2 linked regions of the Rhinolophus ferrumequinum genome follow. The protein of the gene in region 1 purifies or fractionates together with the protein of each later gene. This does not show direct contact. Links are inferred from orthologs where the notes say so. Each region holds a gene or a part of one and is shown in the gene's direction. Other genes may lie near its edges. The genes, in order: TNRC6A and AGO3.

Evidence for each region.
Region 2: the proteins of TNRC6A (region 1) and AGO3 purify together in Homo sapiens (affinity purification with mass spectrometry; 7 studies listed by BioGRID and IntAct, with this or other methods). This does not show direct contact. The link is inferred for Rhinolophus ferrumequinum from reciprocal best matches to the Homo sapiens genes TNRC6A and AGO3.

The regions. Positions count from the first base shown.
Region 1 is NW_022680357.1:18,041,034-18,050,255, forward strand, and holds the start of TNRC6A (trinucleotide repeat-containing gene 6A protein), read left to right. Parts: upstream 1-5,528; 5' UTR 5,529-5,774; intron 5,775-9,222.
Region 2 is NC_046292.1:24,944,759-24,953,758, forward strand, and holds the start of AGO3 (protein argonaute-3), read left to right. Parts: upstream 1-5,228; 5' UTR 5,229-5,586; coding exon of another isoform or gene 5,587-5,590; coding exon 5,591-5,609; intron 5,610-9,000.

The DNA.
Region 1 (9,222 bases):
GCTGGGGACTTTTGCTCACCCTCAGCCCTTCCCTGGATCTTTGCGTCTTCCATCCTGTGTCTTTATGGGTTCGTGTCCACGTTTTGGGTGGAGGGTACGTGCTCTAGTAAATTCTCGAGGAAGCTGCACGAGGGCTTTTTGCTGAGAGCCTCTGCCGCTCCACACATACCTGATTTATGGTGTGACCGGGCGTGGCTTTCCAGGTTGGAAGTTACCGGAGGCGTTTCTCGTGAGACAGCTTCCTGTCCAAAGCAGTTCTAACTCCTAACCCATACATACATGATTTTTTTTTTCCCTCTCCCAGGAAACTTGTTATCCTGAGTGCATTAAAAATCCTGTGATGGGCACTGATGTGGCATCTTTTAAACTTTATTTCCCTGAGTGCTTTATGAGCCCTTTCAACCTGGAAATGCAGCTCTTCCGGTTCCGGAAACATTCTTTTATTGGGGGATGATATCTTCCATTTCATTCTTTTTTTCTGGAATTTAACTATTTAGATGTTAGTTCCAGTTCTCTGATTTTCTTATGCCTTTTCTCCTATTTTTCCATCAATATTTTTTGTTGTGAAGTTTCCTCAACATTTTCAATTTGTAATTCTAGCATATTTACAGTCTCTCAGAATTCTTTTTTGTTTCCTTGTACCCTTTTTATAACATTCTGTTCTTTTTTCATGGATATGATAGGCCTTGAGGGGATAGGATAGAGTTTTGTTTTGGTTTAAGGTTTTCTTAACGCTCCATGCATTGGAAACTGTGCAAGGTTTGTCAAGTGGGTTCCTTTGTGGGATGACCTGACTGGGTTGTTTTATTGGGGATCTCCAGCTGCCAGTGTCTCCCAGGCATTTTCCTTGGGCTGATATCCCCAGAGAGGACACCCCACTCTTCAGAAGGGGACGGAGCAGGTGCCGTATAAGAAACCGGCTACACGAACGTGGAGTCCAGCGGGCTCCATTCACTTACAGACAAACTTCCTCACCCGTTTCCAGCACAGCACCTGCCTACAGCCATTCCTGACTTCTCCGGGGAGCTTGTAAAAATGCTGACGACTGTGTGGACGCCACCCCGAGATTCTGGTTACTGCATCTGGGGGTGGCCCTTTACAACCTCCCAAGGGGACTCAGGAGGCAGCCACGGCTGGGCGCCACAGTCTGATTGACCAGAGGCGGCCTCCATTCTGCCAGAATGAGCTGCTTTGTCCCCGGCCTGTGGCCATGACCACAATTCCGCTTCCTGTAGGACCTGCCACCTGCACATTGATTCCTTCTGGGCCTTGGGGTTAGGATAACCTGGCTTTGGGCTTCTGATTTCTGCTCTGCTAGGTCAGTTGCCACTTGGCCATAGGACATGTCATCTTCCAAAATGCTGCTGCTGTCGTTTCCTCTGCCCGTCTCCTCGTTCTTGTTTGCTCATGCCTTTTCCCTCGTTCTTATCCCTGTAATACGCTTGTTTAACTGGAATCCCTCCACCCTGCCCTCTATCCACAAGAGTGTTGTTAAAATGTCAGCTGGGGCTTGCCACGTCTTCCACGATCAGTGAACATTGGGCCTGGAGAATGTCAGCATTTTCCCCACTATTCTGTAAATTTCTGGGCTGCTTATGTTTTCAAGGCCATTCTAGGTTTGTGACTTCTGGCTCCTGGGTCAGCCTAAGTTCGCTCTTAGATCAGGAAACTTTCCTTCCATCATTTCCTTATTTCTTCTCATCTTCCTCCACCTATTTCATTCTCTCTTCTGGTAACTTTGTAGGGTGTGGATAAGGGATTTGTCTTCCACATACCTTTTCCATAAGCTTTTTGTTTTTTTAAGAAAAGTCATTTTTTTATCTGTTTCCTCTTTCTATTGGAAGAAGTCACCATTTATATTCCCTAATTCAGTCATCCGCGTGTGCAGCCTGCCATCCACTTTCTCCTTTATGTGTCTTTAATCCCAAAACCACACTTGTCATGTCCATTCTGTCCTCCTTTGCTGCTCATTTTCTGTGACAACTATGATCAAGTTACATAGAACCCATGTCAGTCTTGCTGAGAACATGAAATAGACATCAATTCTAACTTTCAGTTGTTGTCTGTGAAGAATTAATTTATTTCTGAAGGAGGACGCAACTGTGAGTCTCCACATAATTGTCGTTTGCTTTTTGAATTACAGCTTTTTTTTTCATTTATTCACCCATATAGAGGGAGAGTTATTTGTCTTTTTTTTTTAAACCAAAAAATTTCTGTCTTTTAATTGTGTCTTGTCTTTTTCTTCTCCTTTTACTTTTTCTTCTTCTCCTTCTTCCTTTTCTTTACGTAACATCTATTTGTGCTCTGCTGGTTTCATTTTAATTCAGTTCAAAGTTCTTTCTAATTTCCTTTTTGCTTCTTTCGTGGATTATTTAGGAATATGTTATTTCGTTTCCAAATATTTGGGGTTTTTCAGACTTATTTCTGTTTTTGATTTCCAATTTCATTTCACTTTGATCAGAGAATATACTTTGCATGATTTTAATCCATTTAAGTTTATTGAGATTTGCTTTATGACTAAGATTATCCTGGTAGACGTCTGTATGCATTGGAAGAGAATGTGGATCCTGCTGTTAGGTGCAACATCCTATAAAAGTCAATTAGGTGAAGTTGGTTAAAATGTTGTATTCAAGTCTTCCACACCCTCACTTGTTTTCAATCTCGTTGTTCTATTAAGTATTGAAAGAGGGATGTTGAAATATCTGCCTTTAATGGTGGATTTGTCTGTTTCTTCTTACTGTTCTGTGACTTCTGTTTCCTGTATTTTGAAGCTGTCTTATTTGGTGAATGAATGTTTAGGATTGCTATTGATCCTTTGTTATTATGAAATCCCCCCCTTTGTCCCTTGTAGTAATTAATAGTAGACATCTCTCCATGGCTGGTAGCAGCAGAGCCGTTCCAGCTTTATTGTGACCAATGTGAGCGTGGGATAGCTTTTTCCATCCACTTCTTTCTCAGCTATTTGTATTTTCTGTTTAAAATGGGTTTCTTTTAGCATGCAGTTGGTTCAATCTGACAATCTCTGTTTTTAAATGGAGTGTTTAGACCATTTACATTGAATGTGATTATTGATGTAGATAGATTAAAATCATGTTCTTTGTTCCCCCTTTTCCTTTTTTATCTGTTTTCTTTTAGATGAAATTAATATTTGTATGATTTTATTTCATCTTCTCTGTTGGCATATGAACTAGGGCTCAATTGTGTTATTTTAGTGGTGGCTTTGGGGTTAATAGTCACCATCCAACTGTTTTATTATATGAAATGTATAGGGTCTACTCCTGGTCCTTGTTCTGTCTCTTAGTGCTTTCTGTGTTATAACTGGTGTTTTATAATTTTGGATTATGAGCTCATCTGCAATAGGAACTTAATCTGTGGAAATTCTGTGAGGCCTGGGTCTAGGGAGTTTGCCTCTGGGTCAGTTTTATGTCTGCCTCGCCAAGGCTCCATTCTTTACGTGTTATTTCTTATTGTCGGTATTCCTGGGTCATAAAAGTAGTATATATTCAAATATCAAAGGCACATGAGGATGGGCCTTGGTTATTAATTGTCAGAGGAGTCCTTTTTTCCTTGACCCAGACTTTAGGTCGAATCACAGCGGCTTCTGTGTTTCCTTGGATGTAAAGGTAAACTTTTTTCTGTTCCACTTTTTCACTGAGGATACAGCACTTGAAGAGCTGTCGTTGCTGTAGAGATTTCAGCCACAGCTCCCCGGGCATGAGACTGTGTCTCCGACACCTGCTGAGGTCCCATCCTGTGGCTTCCAGGTTCCCAGCAAGCACCAGTCCCTCAGGTTGATAACAGTGTTAACACACGTGCTTAGCTCTCCGTTCTCTATTTCTTCTGCCCATTTAGAGAGCTCAGCTATGCACTTAAACGAATGTCTGATATATTTCACCCAGAGGCTCTCCACAGTTATCTGGTCCTCCAGATTGTCAGGAACAGGACTTTCCAGCTTGCTTCTCGGCCCACTATCTGCAGACGTCCACCTCCACAGCTCCAGTGACGCTGCCCCTCCAGCAGCTGTCAGGTTCCTGGGATGCTGCTTCCGCAAGGATGCGTCCAGCACAAGTGGTAACAGACCCGACTAGAGTGGCTTCAGCCACAAAGATGCTTAATTTTCCTGGGACAGGTGGACCCAGGGGCGGGCCGCTGGGTCTGCCAGGGACCCCTTGTCTGCTATGATTGCATAGGACGGTATAGAACAAAACTGGTTTGGAAAAGGCCCTTTTTCCTCTCAGAGGCCCTTTTCACTGCTGCCTGCACGTGAGCCTCCTTTGCTCAAACAGACCCCCAAATTGCAGAGTGACAATTATACGATCTCCTCCTCAGGAAAGTGGTCTGCACAGTTTGTTTACTAGTTTGAGAGAGTATCAGAGCTTAGACTCAACCCCAGGGTGGACAGTGACGGAAGAAAAATCTTTCATTTGACTTACTTTAAATCACCCAGATGCGTTTATTTGGAAGTGACTGGATTAAGTGTCTCATATTTGGCAGAATGGGGGCAGAGGGGCTGGATGTAGGAAGTTTGGCTCAAGACGAAGAAGGGTTTACATTTTTGCCTGCCTGAGTTAGTATCTGACTGTCAAATTTGCATCTGCTACGTCTGTTTACGTTTCTGTTGCTTCTAACAGACAGCGCAGTGCCTCAAGGTCAGACGTCTTGCTGTGTGCATTTCTTTAACATTTCTTTAACACCTCATTCCTCCCTCTCTCCTTCCTGGTGCCTGGGACCAGCCCTGCAACACAGCAGGCGGCTCTACAGGACATCTGGTTAGTAAGAGATGGAATGAATGAATGAACGGGAGGAAACAAGCCCAGTAGATTTTTAAACCACATCTATTTAACTGTATCCTGATTGAGCAGAGAAACTAGAAATGCAGAGAGAGAGAGAGAGAGAGAGAGGGAGAGGAAGAGAGAGAGAGAGGGAGAGCTGCAGACAGAGCAGAGCTACGATAGCTAGAAACAGCCTCATCAGAGCCAGCGGGGCCCCACCTGACTCCTACTGCAGATGCAAAAAAAAAGAAGAAGGGACTGGACGGTTCGGGGGAGCGGTGCCCCGTGTCCCGCAGCTGCTCAGCCCCCACAGCCGCCCACTCCCACTGCTCAGGCGGCTTGGAAGTGGTGGGGGTAAGGGGTGGGGGCGGGGTGGGGAGCAGCCAGAGTCAGGCTTTCCAGAACGAGGCGGAATGGTGTGAGCTCAAACGCCCTGCAGTTGCTGGGCCCGCGGTGGCGAGACTTGGGTTATTCACAAAGGCTGGGAATCGGATGGGGCTGGCACTGCTCCAAGTCGCAGAAGCTGGGGGGAGGGGGAGACGCAGCAGAGCGATTACCCAGATCTTAGCGTTGCAGGGGCTCCAGGGGTCTCCATCTGCATCCGTCCCTCTACCACTGCGTTTTGGGGGTAGGGGGCCCCCTCCAGAAACACTTTATCTGTCAGCTTGTGAGCTGGAGGTGGGGGCGGGGGCCGAAGTTAGGCAGACTCGTCTCGTCACGTGACGGGGGACCTGTATCACGTGATGAGTCCGGTGATGGTGGAGGCAGCATGTGACTCGGGGCTACGTGGGCTCGAAAACAATTTAAACACAAACACACCAGCAGGTCCCCCTCCTGTCCGCTGCCTCTCGGCCTGGCTCTCCCCACCTCGGGGCTGGAGCCCGGCTGGATGGAAGTCCCGTCGTCCCGCGCCCGCTAGCCTGTGAGCACCGCGTCCCTGGAGCTGCAGGGAGCGTCCCGGAGCCGTGCCCGTCATTCTGCAGCCCGCGGACTCCCAGGCTGGTAAGTGACCGCACGCTGAGCGGGGAGCGGTGACGCTGCGTACAGGGCACCCCGGCGGGGCCCTGCCCGGGGCCAGGGCGGCCCGGCCCCTCCGCGCTGCCGGGCTCCTGCGCCCGCGCGGCCGTGGCCCGCGCGGCCCCCCCACGCATCTCGCTGAGGTCTCCCCTGCCCTCACCGTCTCCCTCTCCACCCCACGTCTTGTTTCTCTCTTTTTCGTCGGCCCCACTTTCCCTCTCTCCTCTCTCACTGCTTTTCTGACGAGGTCCTCTCCCCTTCGTCTCTTACATTTATTTTCTTGGACACCTAGGTCTTCATGTTCTTTCCATCCAGAACCTGCAAGGACAGCTTCTGAGCACTTGGGGACTGAAGCTGTGCCAGCTGCCCCTCGTGAAACGTTTCTCGCGCGGAGACCGCGGAGATGGCCCAGTGCCCGTGGTGCTCGCGCACGCACGTGTTCAGGCTGATTGACACATTTTGTGGCGCCGTCAGATGTGTTTCTTGGGTGGATGTTCGTGGGCTCCAGATCCAGCTGAGCTAGGGGACCAGGAGGGGCAGTTACAGCTGTTGGGGGACGCTGCTCCCTGACCCCGGATGTGGACTCCCCACGGGAGAACGCAGGAGGCAGCAGCCGCGCTCAGTGCTTGCAGGCTCCTGGGCCGCGTGTCACAGAGCTGGCTCAGAGTTCGGGGCCACACGTTGGCAGGACGAGGCAGAGCGGTGGCCGAGGCGCATGCGATCACGGCAGTGTCCACAGCCACGCAGCAAGCACTTTGTTGGCTGCAGAAGCCTCTGATTCACTGTTGTCCAGATATGCTGCCTTCACTCGGCAAGAAATAATTAACAATTACTGAGCACAAGGCACCCAACAGCTCAAGGGGGGGGAGGTAGGTGCTATTTTTACCCCCTTGTTAGAGGTGGGGAGACTGAGGCATGAAGCAGGTCACTAGCTAGTAAGGGGTGGAGCTCAGGCAGCTCTTATCCAGAGCCTGCACAGCTGACCACGAAGAAGACCTGCCTCAAAAACTTTCGACTGCCCGGCTATGTGACAGTTAGCGTGCAAACGTTGGGCTGCCTCTATGAGCAAAGCAGACACGGTGTCCTTGCCAAGTTCATGGTGCCGTAGAGAAGGCAGCTCAGAAACACGCCATCACCCAGGCAGGGTGGTATTTCAAACGGGGGTATTGGCCACAGAGGAAATAGTAGGGTGCCACGAGGATATAGAACTGGACACATACTTCTGTGGGGGCCCAAGGTGGCCAGCTGGCCAAAGGAGCCCCCTCTGCTCATGTCATATTTAAGTTGTGACCTGAGAGTCCGCCAGGTGAAGAGCCGGGAAGAATAGTCCGGACAGAGGGAATGGCATGTGTGAGGGCCGTGAGGGCCGAACTGGGGCCAGCTGAGTCCCAGGGCTGAGCACATCAGATTCTGTGGGTCTCTGTAGGTCTTACTAAGTGACTTGCTTGGGTCTCACCGTAGGATCAGTGAGCAATGATGAAAGCATTTTAACTAGGGAAGTAGCACAACCACACCTGCAACATGAGACGACTTCTAGAGGTGTATACGTTCATTTTGGCGATATTGCAAACCACCCCAAACGTAGGGGCTGGACACCGCAGACACCGATAGCTCGTTATGCTGGCAGCTGGCAGTCAGGACGGTCCTTCTTCTTCTTTACCCCGACTGGGTTCCCTCCTGTGCCTCTGGCTGCAGGGGGGTGGTCTTAGGTGGTCTCACTCATGTGTCTCCTGATTAGCAGGTGCAATTGAAATTGCCCGGGCCACGTGTCTCCCTATGGAGCCAGCCAGCTCAGTCTTCTTCATATGGTGGCTGGGTTCCAAAAGTGGCAAGAGAGGGGGTGCCCCAATGCACAAGCACGTTTCAAGCAGCTGCTTCCATCGTTTGCTAGTGTCCCATTGGCCTAGACAAGTCACATGATCGAGGGATGGCGAGATACACCTCTCGACCAGGGAGCTACAAAATATTGTATCTATTTGTTCCCAGCCTACTGTGAATTCAAAATGGGGAGCTGGCTCCAGTCTTCCTCTCTTATGGGAGGAGCTGAAAGCCAGGAGAAAGCCTGGAGCCGATTTTGCTGTGATTGGAGATGAACTTAGACTTGGCCGTATGTCAGACTGTTTTCTGCTTAGAACACGTGGGAGCCTGAGCACCGGTTTTGGACAGGGATCAGGAGGGTGTCAGGAATGTGGTGTAGAAGTGTCCCTTCTCTTCTCTCAGGGTCACCTGGGCCTGACGTGGAGTCCAGGAAGACTTGTGCGATTGTTACCCTGGGATGAAATTTGGGCCACATGGACCTCGGAGTGTGTTGAAGGGTCCCAGACGAGGCGAGAGCACGTGCAAAGACTCCGAGGGAAGGAGGTAGATGGCTTGTTTGGGACCTAGGAGGCACTTTCGCTTATGTGCGTATAGTGGGGATGGAATGGGAGTGGACAGACTCGAAACCTGTTTTAAGAGGTAGAAGTAACAAGCCAAGCCGATGGAGCTGAAGAAAAGGGACAGAGGCAAGGTTAGTGATAGGATTTCCTAAGGAGTTGATTAGAACATTCTTTGGGTGATGGTGTCGGGACGAGAGCAGGAAAAACCTCAAGCATCCTATCCACTGGGTCACATGTTGCTGAGACACTGAGAACATTGAAGGCAGAAAAGTGTCTGTCTGACTTGGCAATGTGGAGGTAGCTGAAGGCTTTGATACGAGCGATTCTGGTGAGGTGGTGAGGATGGAAACCCGGTGGGAGTGGGTTCAGGAGTGAAGGAGGGTAAATAAACTGTGACCGGAATAACGGAAACCAGGCAGTGTTTGGGGACGGGTCGGGGCCAGGGCAACTGTCTGCTTGTACATTTGCCGTAAAACAAAACAATAACAGGAGCCTTTTGATTGTGTAAACTATTGGAGCAGTCGGTCGAAAGGGACAGAGCGAATGGCATCCAGCGTGTGTGAGTGGTCGGTGATGACAGACTTTTACTTTTTATAGGAGGGAATAATGAGAAAAAAGGTCGCGCTGATCCATGAAAGCTTGTAGATTCGGTGTTGAAAGGATGAAGCATTTCCTGTCAGCATTTGTTTTCACAATAATGCATGAGGCGAGGTCATTAGCAGAGAAAGATAGGAGGAGGGAAGAAGAGAGTATCTGGGAGAGGGAGAAACAAGCGCCGTCAAGAAAGGAGGAGGGCTGCTGGACAGAGAACAGAGAGCACGCGATGGGTGGTTTTCTCCCGTGTCGTCCAAGTGCTTGGGCTCGAGCCCCTGGAGTTGGTAGCATCTGTTGGGCGGGAGTTTTACTGCACAAATTCCACTGAAGACCAGAGGGCGAGGGTGCTGGTCTGGGCGACAAGGACGTGCTTGTCAAGCCACAGACTGGAAGCAGAAGGTTGCCAGGATGGGCCGCGGAGAACGAATGCATGGTCGGCTCGGTGGGCGGAGGTTATGATG
Region 2 (9,000 bases), on another chromosome or scaffold:
ATAGATGGTGTTCCAGTGCACTCGATAGCACTTAGCAGCTTGCTCTCTTTATTTTCGTGTCTTGTTTCCCCCCTGAGCCTGTGAGCTCCTGGGAACAGAAACTACATCCTATCCATTTTTGCCATCTTAGGTCCCATAGCATGTATTTGTGAATATAATTGAAATGAGCTAGAAATCTGTAGTTCATGCATACAGGGGGTTGGGGGCGGGGAATCAAAAGGTGATATTGAGTGCATAGGATGGACTCAGCATTTCTGAATCTTCAGGTAAGCAGAATCTTAACCATATTACCATCATTTCTCACTTTCACCCCAACTTGGAAGTTCTATGGCTTTTGTACCTTAAGCTGATGGTACAGTTGTCAAGCATGTAAGTTGTGGCATTCCTCCCTGCTAGTGCTAGCGTTGTTGTTCTATGGGAAGATTGCTCAGAGGAGGATTCTGGCACAGGGCCCAGTGAGAAATTTTCAGTGGCAGCTATTATGTACATAAGTGGGCCCTAACATTCCCCTGGAGGCCAAGTGTTGTGACTCTTCAAATTGCAGAGCTAACCTGTGGCTACCACCTGACAAATTCCCTTGGGAGCAAGCCAGCCAGACTGCATGCTCCTTTTTAGAAGTGAGGGTGAGTGGGCTTGGTTGTACTTTAAATGCAAATTGGAACATGGGGGAGATTTTTCCCAATTGAAATAAGACTTAAAATAAATTTATGACCCTTAGTAAAGCAGAAGTAGTTAGCAGAGCAAGGAGGAGGATGATCATTACGGCCCTTTTTTTCTTTTGCCATACATTTCAATTTTATTAATGATTGATGTTAAAAAAGGTTTCACGATTTGCCTGTTGGTTGCTGCTCAAGAGAAAAAGATGATGGGAGCCCAAGGCCTGATTTGTCTGGTCCTGGAGCCTAAGGTATTAAGTTAAGGGTTGTCCTAGCACCCTGGATATCCCTTTGCAGTATTGGTGGGGCAGCCTTCCCTCTGCCCTGTCATTCAGCAACATGTATTGTAGCACGTTTTTATCTAGCAAGTGGCTTGGAGCAGAGTGAGAGTGGGTATTTGTTGGATATCTCTTGGCTTAGCAGACCCCGAATCTCGTGGCAGTTAGGGTTTGAGGGCTAAAGGAAAGGGTTACAGTACAAAGAGAAGACTATTTTCAAGTTCTGAGTCTGGGCAATTTCCAGACTGTTGCATGTACTGTTTGAATGGCAAGTCGCATTGAATTGTCGCAAATAGCTCTCCCTGTTTCTAGCTTTCAAGACATTTATTCCTCTGGCTATCAGCTGAGGAAACCTGGCAAGCTTAGAAATGCAGAGCATGAGAGAGGCACTCCTGTAAAGCAGCTATGTCAAGGAGTAGCTGGAAAAGTGGACTTGCTGGGGACAAGGTACATTTTAGAAGTTCTTCACTTGAGCACCATGACTATCTTCCCCAGGATGCCATATCGAGGTTTTTTAGGCCAGCGTGGCTTGCCCTGCAGGAACACATTGTCCTCTGCTCTGGACTGCAGCAGCTTCACCACTATCTTCTTGGCGGTGTCCTTTTGGGACAGAAATCTGAGGGACCTTTCTAAGGAGCCCTCCATCCCTCGTCCCCACCTATTGAAGGCAAGTAACTTTCTTAAAGGAGGCAGTAGGAGATCCCAGCCAGTTTTTTTGAAAAAGCTTATGGATTGTTAATGGAAGTGAACTGAAAAAGGAGGCTTGGGAACTTTGAAGTATTTGGCTAGGTGTTTTGTACAGTATCTGTTTATCTTATTTAATTGCATCAGCACAGCATTCATGTGGAGTGATTTATCAATTACCTTCAGTTGCATATAACAAAACTCCCATTAAGTTGGCTTAAATAAGGAAACTAGTACATGACAAGATGTCCGGATTTAATATGGCCCCAAGGTTGATTAATTCAGTGGCTCAATGATAAAACCAACAAACCAGGTTCTTGCAGTCTTTTTGTTCTGCTATCCTCTATGTTGGTTTACCCTCATGCTAGTTCACCTAAGGGTCCCAGATGGCTTCCATAATTCCAGGAAGGAAATGCGGACAAAACAGTGTCTTGCAGAAGAGGGACTAAGTTTTTCCAATGTTTCATGTAAAGTAAGAAAATCCTTGGAAGCCCCAGCTGATCTGGCATAATGTCTCATTTGCTAGAACTGGGTCATCTTCCCACTCCTGTCATTGGCAAAGCAAATAAGATCATCCATCATGAGTGGCTTAATTAGGAGTTACCTCTAACTTGTGTGGCTTAGAAAGAAAGGCAAATCATGTCTGTTAGACAAGAAAGAAGGGCTGTTGGGTAGGTATCCAGCAGTGTCTGCTCTACTCAAGTCCTCTGGTTTTTACAGAGGAGGAATATGAGGCTCAGAGTGACTTTCCTAGGATCACAGATAGTAGCAGAGGGCCTGCAGTCTCAGCTCTGAGTGTCCCTAAAGCCAGTATGTTTTATACTGTGTCCTGCTGCAGTACAAAGTACAGCAGACCCTTGAACAACACAGGTTTGAACTTTGTAGGTCCACTTATGTGCGGATTTTTTTCAATACATATACAGTCGGCCCTGTGTATCCCCCCAGGTTTTACGTCCGTGGATCCAACCAGCTGTGGACCAAAAACAGTATTTTCAGTCCCTGGTTCAGAGTCCATGGATGTGGAAAGCACACTACATGTTCTACACCATTTTATATAAGGGACTTGCGCATCCTTGGATTTTGGTGTCCACAGGGTCCTGGAGCCAATCACTCCAGGTCCTGAAGGATATCTCTAGTTAAGTTTTTGAGGAGCTAAAAGTCATACATAGGTTCTCAACTCCCTGGGAGTCAGCACCCCTAACCTCCGTGTTGTTCAGGGGTCAACTCTAGCTTTCTGCTGTTTAAAAACTGGTCTAGGAGAAGAGATTTGAACCCAAGTGTCAAGTCCACTACAGCTCATGGGAGAGGAGAGGATTCTCTCCAGTTGTTCTCATCCAGAAATGATGTGTGTAGCACAGAAAGCCTAGGGATGCACCTTTCAGCAAGCATTGATTTCCTTTCCCCTGAGATTTCTCTATTTTGTAGTTCTCCCTTCTGAGAGCAACCAGTGCCACGTCAGATGAGGGCAGAGTTTTAGCCTGCTTCCTGAGCCCCATTCTTGAAGCCCACTCATTTATTCATGCATCCCACAAGTATTTACAGAATGTCGATATGTGCCAGGCACTGGCACTGTTGTAGGCACGGGCTATGACAGTTAACAAGATGCACAATGGCACTGTTCTATGCCCTTAAGAACAGACTCCTTTGGGAATGAGGGTATTCAAAACTAGTGTGTGCACGTGGTCAGGGGAAAGCCTCATACAACTTTGCTTTTGGCAGAATCATTCAAACGTTTTTTGCCTTCCCACTTCCTGATACTATAATTCATGAACCTTTCACTTGGGCCTGTTCTGAAGAGGTGGGGGTCCCTGGATAGCAGAAGTAGGTGGGAAGGCATCATTGACATTTATTAAACTGGATCTAATTAGAAAGTCCAAATCCTGCTTCATCAATGTCAGCAAAGAAGACAGTGGCCCACCTCCAGGGTTCATCACCGTCAACATGTTTATTCTGGGAGATGCCGAAGAAGCCTGCAGTCACTTGAGGAACCAGTTCTAGAATTGGGGGTTGAAGGTGTGCTAGACCTTTGCACAACAGTTGGTATTTACCCTGTCAGATGCTGCTATAGATTTGGATTTGTCTAGTCAAGGATTGAAAATAACTTTGAAGATACAGTGTTTCATCTGGTGACATTTAATTTGATATTTTAAAATTGGGGAGGGCATTTTCAGTAAATGGGTTATGGATGGGAAGGAAAAAGAGAGAAAGAAGTGGTATCAGATGTGGGTTTGAATCCCACCCATTTATGAAGTGTTTACAGTATGTGTATCTAGTAAGTGCTTTAAAATGGTAAATACAGTAAATACTTTTTTATTCACTAACATTTAGGGAGGGTTTTCTGTGCTTTATGCACATTCCCTAATCTCACAACTACTATAAGGTACATATTCTCTCCAGTTTTCAGAAGAGGAACCTGAAGCCAGGAGGCTCAAGTGATTGATCCAAAGTCCCAGTGATTGAAGGGGGGGGAAGGGGATGATTTAAGATAGGATACTTTCTCTCCTTTTCCTCTTTGTCCCAGCTTTTAAAAAAAGAATGTACTTTGATTTTTTAAAGTCTAAACAACATTACTACTGATGGTTAGGAACATAGGGAAAAGTCATGAATCATTCAGCCTGAGTAAAATAGTATCACCTTTCATTAAAGGAAACAAATATTAAGGACCTACTATTTGCCAGTTAATGTGCTTGTCCTAGTAACCTAATCTTACATACTATTGGTAGAGGGGGCACACAATAAACTAGTAAAAACAAATTACAGATTAGAACAGGATTATTAAGGAAATACTGTAATAGAAAAACGGGTGCCCTCCCATAGCCGAAAAAGCCTAAGTCTTAAATTGAGGTGTAAAAAGGAGGGGCGGGGTGGAGAGAAAGAAGAGGGTTCCTTGCCGAGGGAACTGAAAGCTGAGAGACTCCCAATAGCAAAAAGAAGCGCTTTGCCCGTTGGGGGAGTTAGACCAGCATAGCTGTAGCATAGTGAAGTCTTGCTTGAAGAGAAAAGCTGGGCCCCCGTCACACAGTGCGTTTGGGCCCTGGAGAGGAGTTTGGGTCTTAGTGTGACGAGACACTATTAAAGAGTTTTAAACATGGAAATTATTCGATCTGATGTTTGTGTAATGTCCTGGTTCTTAATCTTCTCCCAAGCTAAATTGTACATTTTACCCCCCAAATCGTCGTCAAAGAAACCCTGCGGACTTGGAGTGATCCACTGTAGTGGTTACTTGACCAACTAGTTGAGGAGGAGGCGCGTGGGGTCGCCCCAACTGGGCGTGGAGGGAGAGGCTCGGGAAGGAGGGTGGCCCTGCACCTTGACCAGCCTCGCTCCAGGTAGCTCCTCCCCAGGTAAGCGACACCGCCCTCCGCGACGTCGCAGGCAGGCAGGGCTCCGCACCAGGGTGGCCCGAGGAGCCCAGCCCCGCCGGGTCGTCTCCAGCCGGCACAGCCCAGCGGAGGCTCCGCCCCGCCCCGCTGCGCGTGCCCCAAGCTCCGCCCACGCTAGTCGCCCTCTCCCCACACCTCCCCTGCGTCCCCCGCGCCGGCCGCGTCCGCACCGACGTCGCGCCCGCACGGCTTGGGACGGAGAGGCGAGGCTTGGACGTCCGGCGAGCCGGGGCAGCGGAACTGACGCCAGCGGGCTTCCGGGGACGGCCCCGGGGGAGGTCGGCCGCGGCGCCGCAGTCGTGGAGGGGCAGCCCGAGCGTCAGCGGCCGCGGGCGACGCAAGTTCCGCACCGCGCTCCCCTCTCCTCGCCTCACGCTTCTCCTTCCTCTCGCCTAGTGGCGTGCTGCCTCCCGACGGCGGCTCTTCCTGACGAGAGCTTTCGGAGCGCGCTCGCTGAGAGGAAGCGGTCGCCACCCCGCCTCGGGGCCGAGTGAGAGTGCCTGTCGCGCCGCGTCGCCCCCTTCGCCGCCTCCTTGCCCCCCAGTGGCGGGCGCCCTTCTCGCTGGAAGCACTCCCCCCAGCTCCATGAATGGAAATCGGCTCCGCAGGTGAGTGTGTCCCATGCTGGCCCGGTCGGTGGGGGTGTCCCCAGAGCATCGTCGCTCCCTCAGCCTCGGCCCCGTCGCGCGAGGTGAGCGCCGTCCGGGCGGCTCCCCCTCGCCGACCCCCGCTCGGCCCCTCCTCCGCCTTCCCGCAGCCCCGCCGCAGTTCCCGGGAGCCACTGAATTGGCGACCCGGCGGGGAGGGGACACTGCTGAGAGGATTGAAGTTTGGGGTTCTCTAGTCGATAGTGCTCTTCTTTTCCTGGGGTCTAGAAGGGTTTGCCATCGCTTTTGTTATTCCGGTTGGAGGTGTAACGGTGTGCGTGTCCTTTTAACTGGGTTGTGTGTCCCGTAGAGGCGCTGGGCAGGTAGCTCTCTCCCTTTCTTACCTCTGAAGGTAGTTGTGAAGATAACTGTGAGATAACAGATGAGGATTAAGTTTGAAATAGGTTTTAGTGCAACGTCAAATGCAAGATGACATTTCTCCCATCCCCGAGTTCTCTTCTGATGTTTGTAGCAGCGTGTTATGTAGTTCCTGAGGATCTTGGAAATGTCATATCAGCCTGGATCTCTGCTTATGTGAGGAGGTGGATCTTAAAATTGCTGACAGTATATTCTTTCATTCTCTATTCCCTAGAGGTTCGGTTGTCATATTCCTGGAAATTTGGAATGAAGAAAACTTTCTCTCCTTGTAAAAGGGTAGCCTTGAGAAAAAAATCGCAACTTGGACAGTACTTATTTGAAAGGAAAAAGAGCACTATGGTTCTAAAGTAATTAATTGAGGGACATAAAGTAGATGTTACATAACGGCTTGTTTTCCAAAGGAGCATTCATACTTGGTGTGTTAAATTTGAAAGTATGTTTCATCCAGTCACAGATTTATAAATTAATTTTCAAAATATTGGTGGTGGTGGTGGGCGTATTGTGACTAATGGTATCCCAAGTCCCTGAATTTCACATCATAGTTTGCTAGTTTGGGAGATATCTGAATATGAGATAAGAAAAACTTATGTAAAAGAAACCAGTGACATAATGATAAAGAATTTGTTAATTAGGTTAAGGAGTATAATTTTCAAGTAGATGCAGAAGCACTCAAATTATAGAGGTTGCGACAGGGTGAGAGGTTTATTACAAGTTTTATTATATGGAATTTTTAACTTTCTACTATACTCTTTACGGAATGTGATGATTTGGGGTTATAGGTGATTTTTATATAACTGTCCTGTTGTCAAGCCTGGAAAACAAAACATGAAAGTTAAACACTTTATTAATCATTCTAAAACTTTTAAAGATATGTCAAAAAAAAATTTTGAAGCTTTTTTTCCTTTGTCTTCTTTGGTTTTTTTACATGAAATTATGCCCAAATATATAGACATCTTAGAAAATTCTTCCGAAGTCAAACCACCTAACCAACTGATCCAGCTAGCCAAGTATGATTCAGTAAACGCTCCTGTGAATTCTTGAGCTAAGAATTGGACATCTTGAAATGCAGTTTATTATTCAGTGTAGTTTATACATAAGTGACTCTAATCTAATAAGGAAGATAAAGTACAATTTAGCTCAAGTTTGTCATCATTAAAAACAAAGTTTTCGTTTTTCCTGAAACTTATATGCAATTGTTAAATTACACATGAAATTGAAAGCATTGTTGGGAAAAATGTGCAACTAAGTTTTAAATAAAGAATTTGACAAGTACATACTCTGGTTTAAAAATTTTAGATGTAAATGTTCTCTACTAGGCTATTAAGTCAGTGTTGGATCTTGGCTCTCCAATTCTGTTCCAAGTTTTTCTTTTGTGTGGAGATTCTTAGAAATCATCTTATGACAGGATATTTTAAAATCTAGTCCTTAGGTGGATACATAGAAAACTTAAATTTATTTATATTAGAGGACTTTGAATACAAATACTGTAGTTTCTTGGTGAATCATCCCTCACTAAAAGTTATTTATCTGTTCTTCCCTTTTGCATGAAATATTTTAAGTGATTTTTAAGGGTGTCCTGTTCAATCTACTGATCTAGTGCTGTGTGAACTTTGATTTAACCCAAAAAGCTGCCACAATTGGTTTGTAAATAATAACAGTGTAGCATCTGTGCTTATGACTCCTTAGAGGAACTTCTGCTGAAACCCTATTTTTTATGGTTTAATTACAGCTGGGCTAAAAGTATATGTTATGTTTTAGTTCCAAATAGAGCGGGAATAGAGGAAGCAGAAATGTTCATTGAGATATCACTTCTCCAGAGTAGCTATTTTTTAGGACCTTAACTATTCTAGTCTGTATTTTTAGGTAAAGTCAGACTACTGTTTAGGGCAGACAGAATTGTACCTACCTTCCAATGGAAGAAAAACATTTACCTTACATTACTGTGCAAATAGATTTGACAGGTTTGGTAGTTGTCTTATACAATGTTGCAAAAGTGAATAGACTATGTTTCTGTCTTAGTTATACTTTGTGTTTGGATACTCTGCATTCTTGAACAATAAATATCAAGAAAAGTCATTTGAGAACAAGTTCCAAAAGAACAAAAATTTCATGTATGGAAGCTAGATTTAAATGAGGTAGAAAAAAGTGGGTTCAAAATACTAAAACAAATATAAGGCCATTAGGTTCTCAGTTGAATACTTAAACAATCTTTAATCACTTTGGAGAATGTTTTTATGATATAAATTTTTTCACTTGCATTTTTTTTGTCTTGGAAAAAAAAGTCAAACTGCTGCTCTGTCTGGAGGGCATTAATTTTGAACATGGAAAATGTTTTTCTACTTGGTTGTCACTTAAATTTTAGCTTGTGCTGCTTTGGAGTGGCCATTACATTATTTCCCCTAGTATTTGCTGCTTTTGCCTGGCAGTGGGACTTATAAAAATGTGCAAAATTATTTTGATTTTTGTTTTAGAATTTAATCTCTCTGACAGTGATGGAATACCCTGAGGGAAAATGAAAAAGGAAGCAAGAAATAACTTGTTTCTTCTAAACAGACTTAAAAGGAAAAAAAGAACATACATGTAACCCTCAAATATAATTCAGTTAACACCATGAAGACTTTTAAAAATTATCCATGATTCCATCACGCTGATATGACCACTTTTAAAATCTTTAAACCAAATTCCAAACTAATAAATCTATTACTTTAAAAAAATTTAAGAAATTAAGTAATTTAGGGGTTAGAATGAATGAAATGATTTCTAAATACTACTTCCTTTTGCTGTTTTGGAGAATTTTATGTATAAGTTGGTATTTTAGAATTAATTTCTGTTCATTTTTATTTTCCATTGTATTTGTTTGATTCTATAAGCCTACCCTGATGGTATATGCAAAGAGGCCTGGGGCCCTGTGAAGGGAACATTTCCTGGAAGAGTTCTCTGTTGTATATGGAAAAATCCTAGCTCAGAGTAGAAT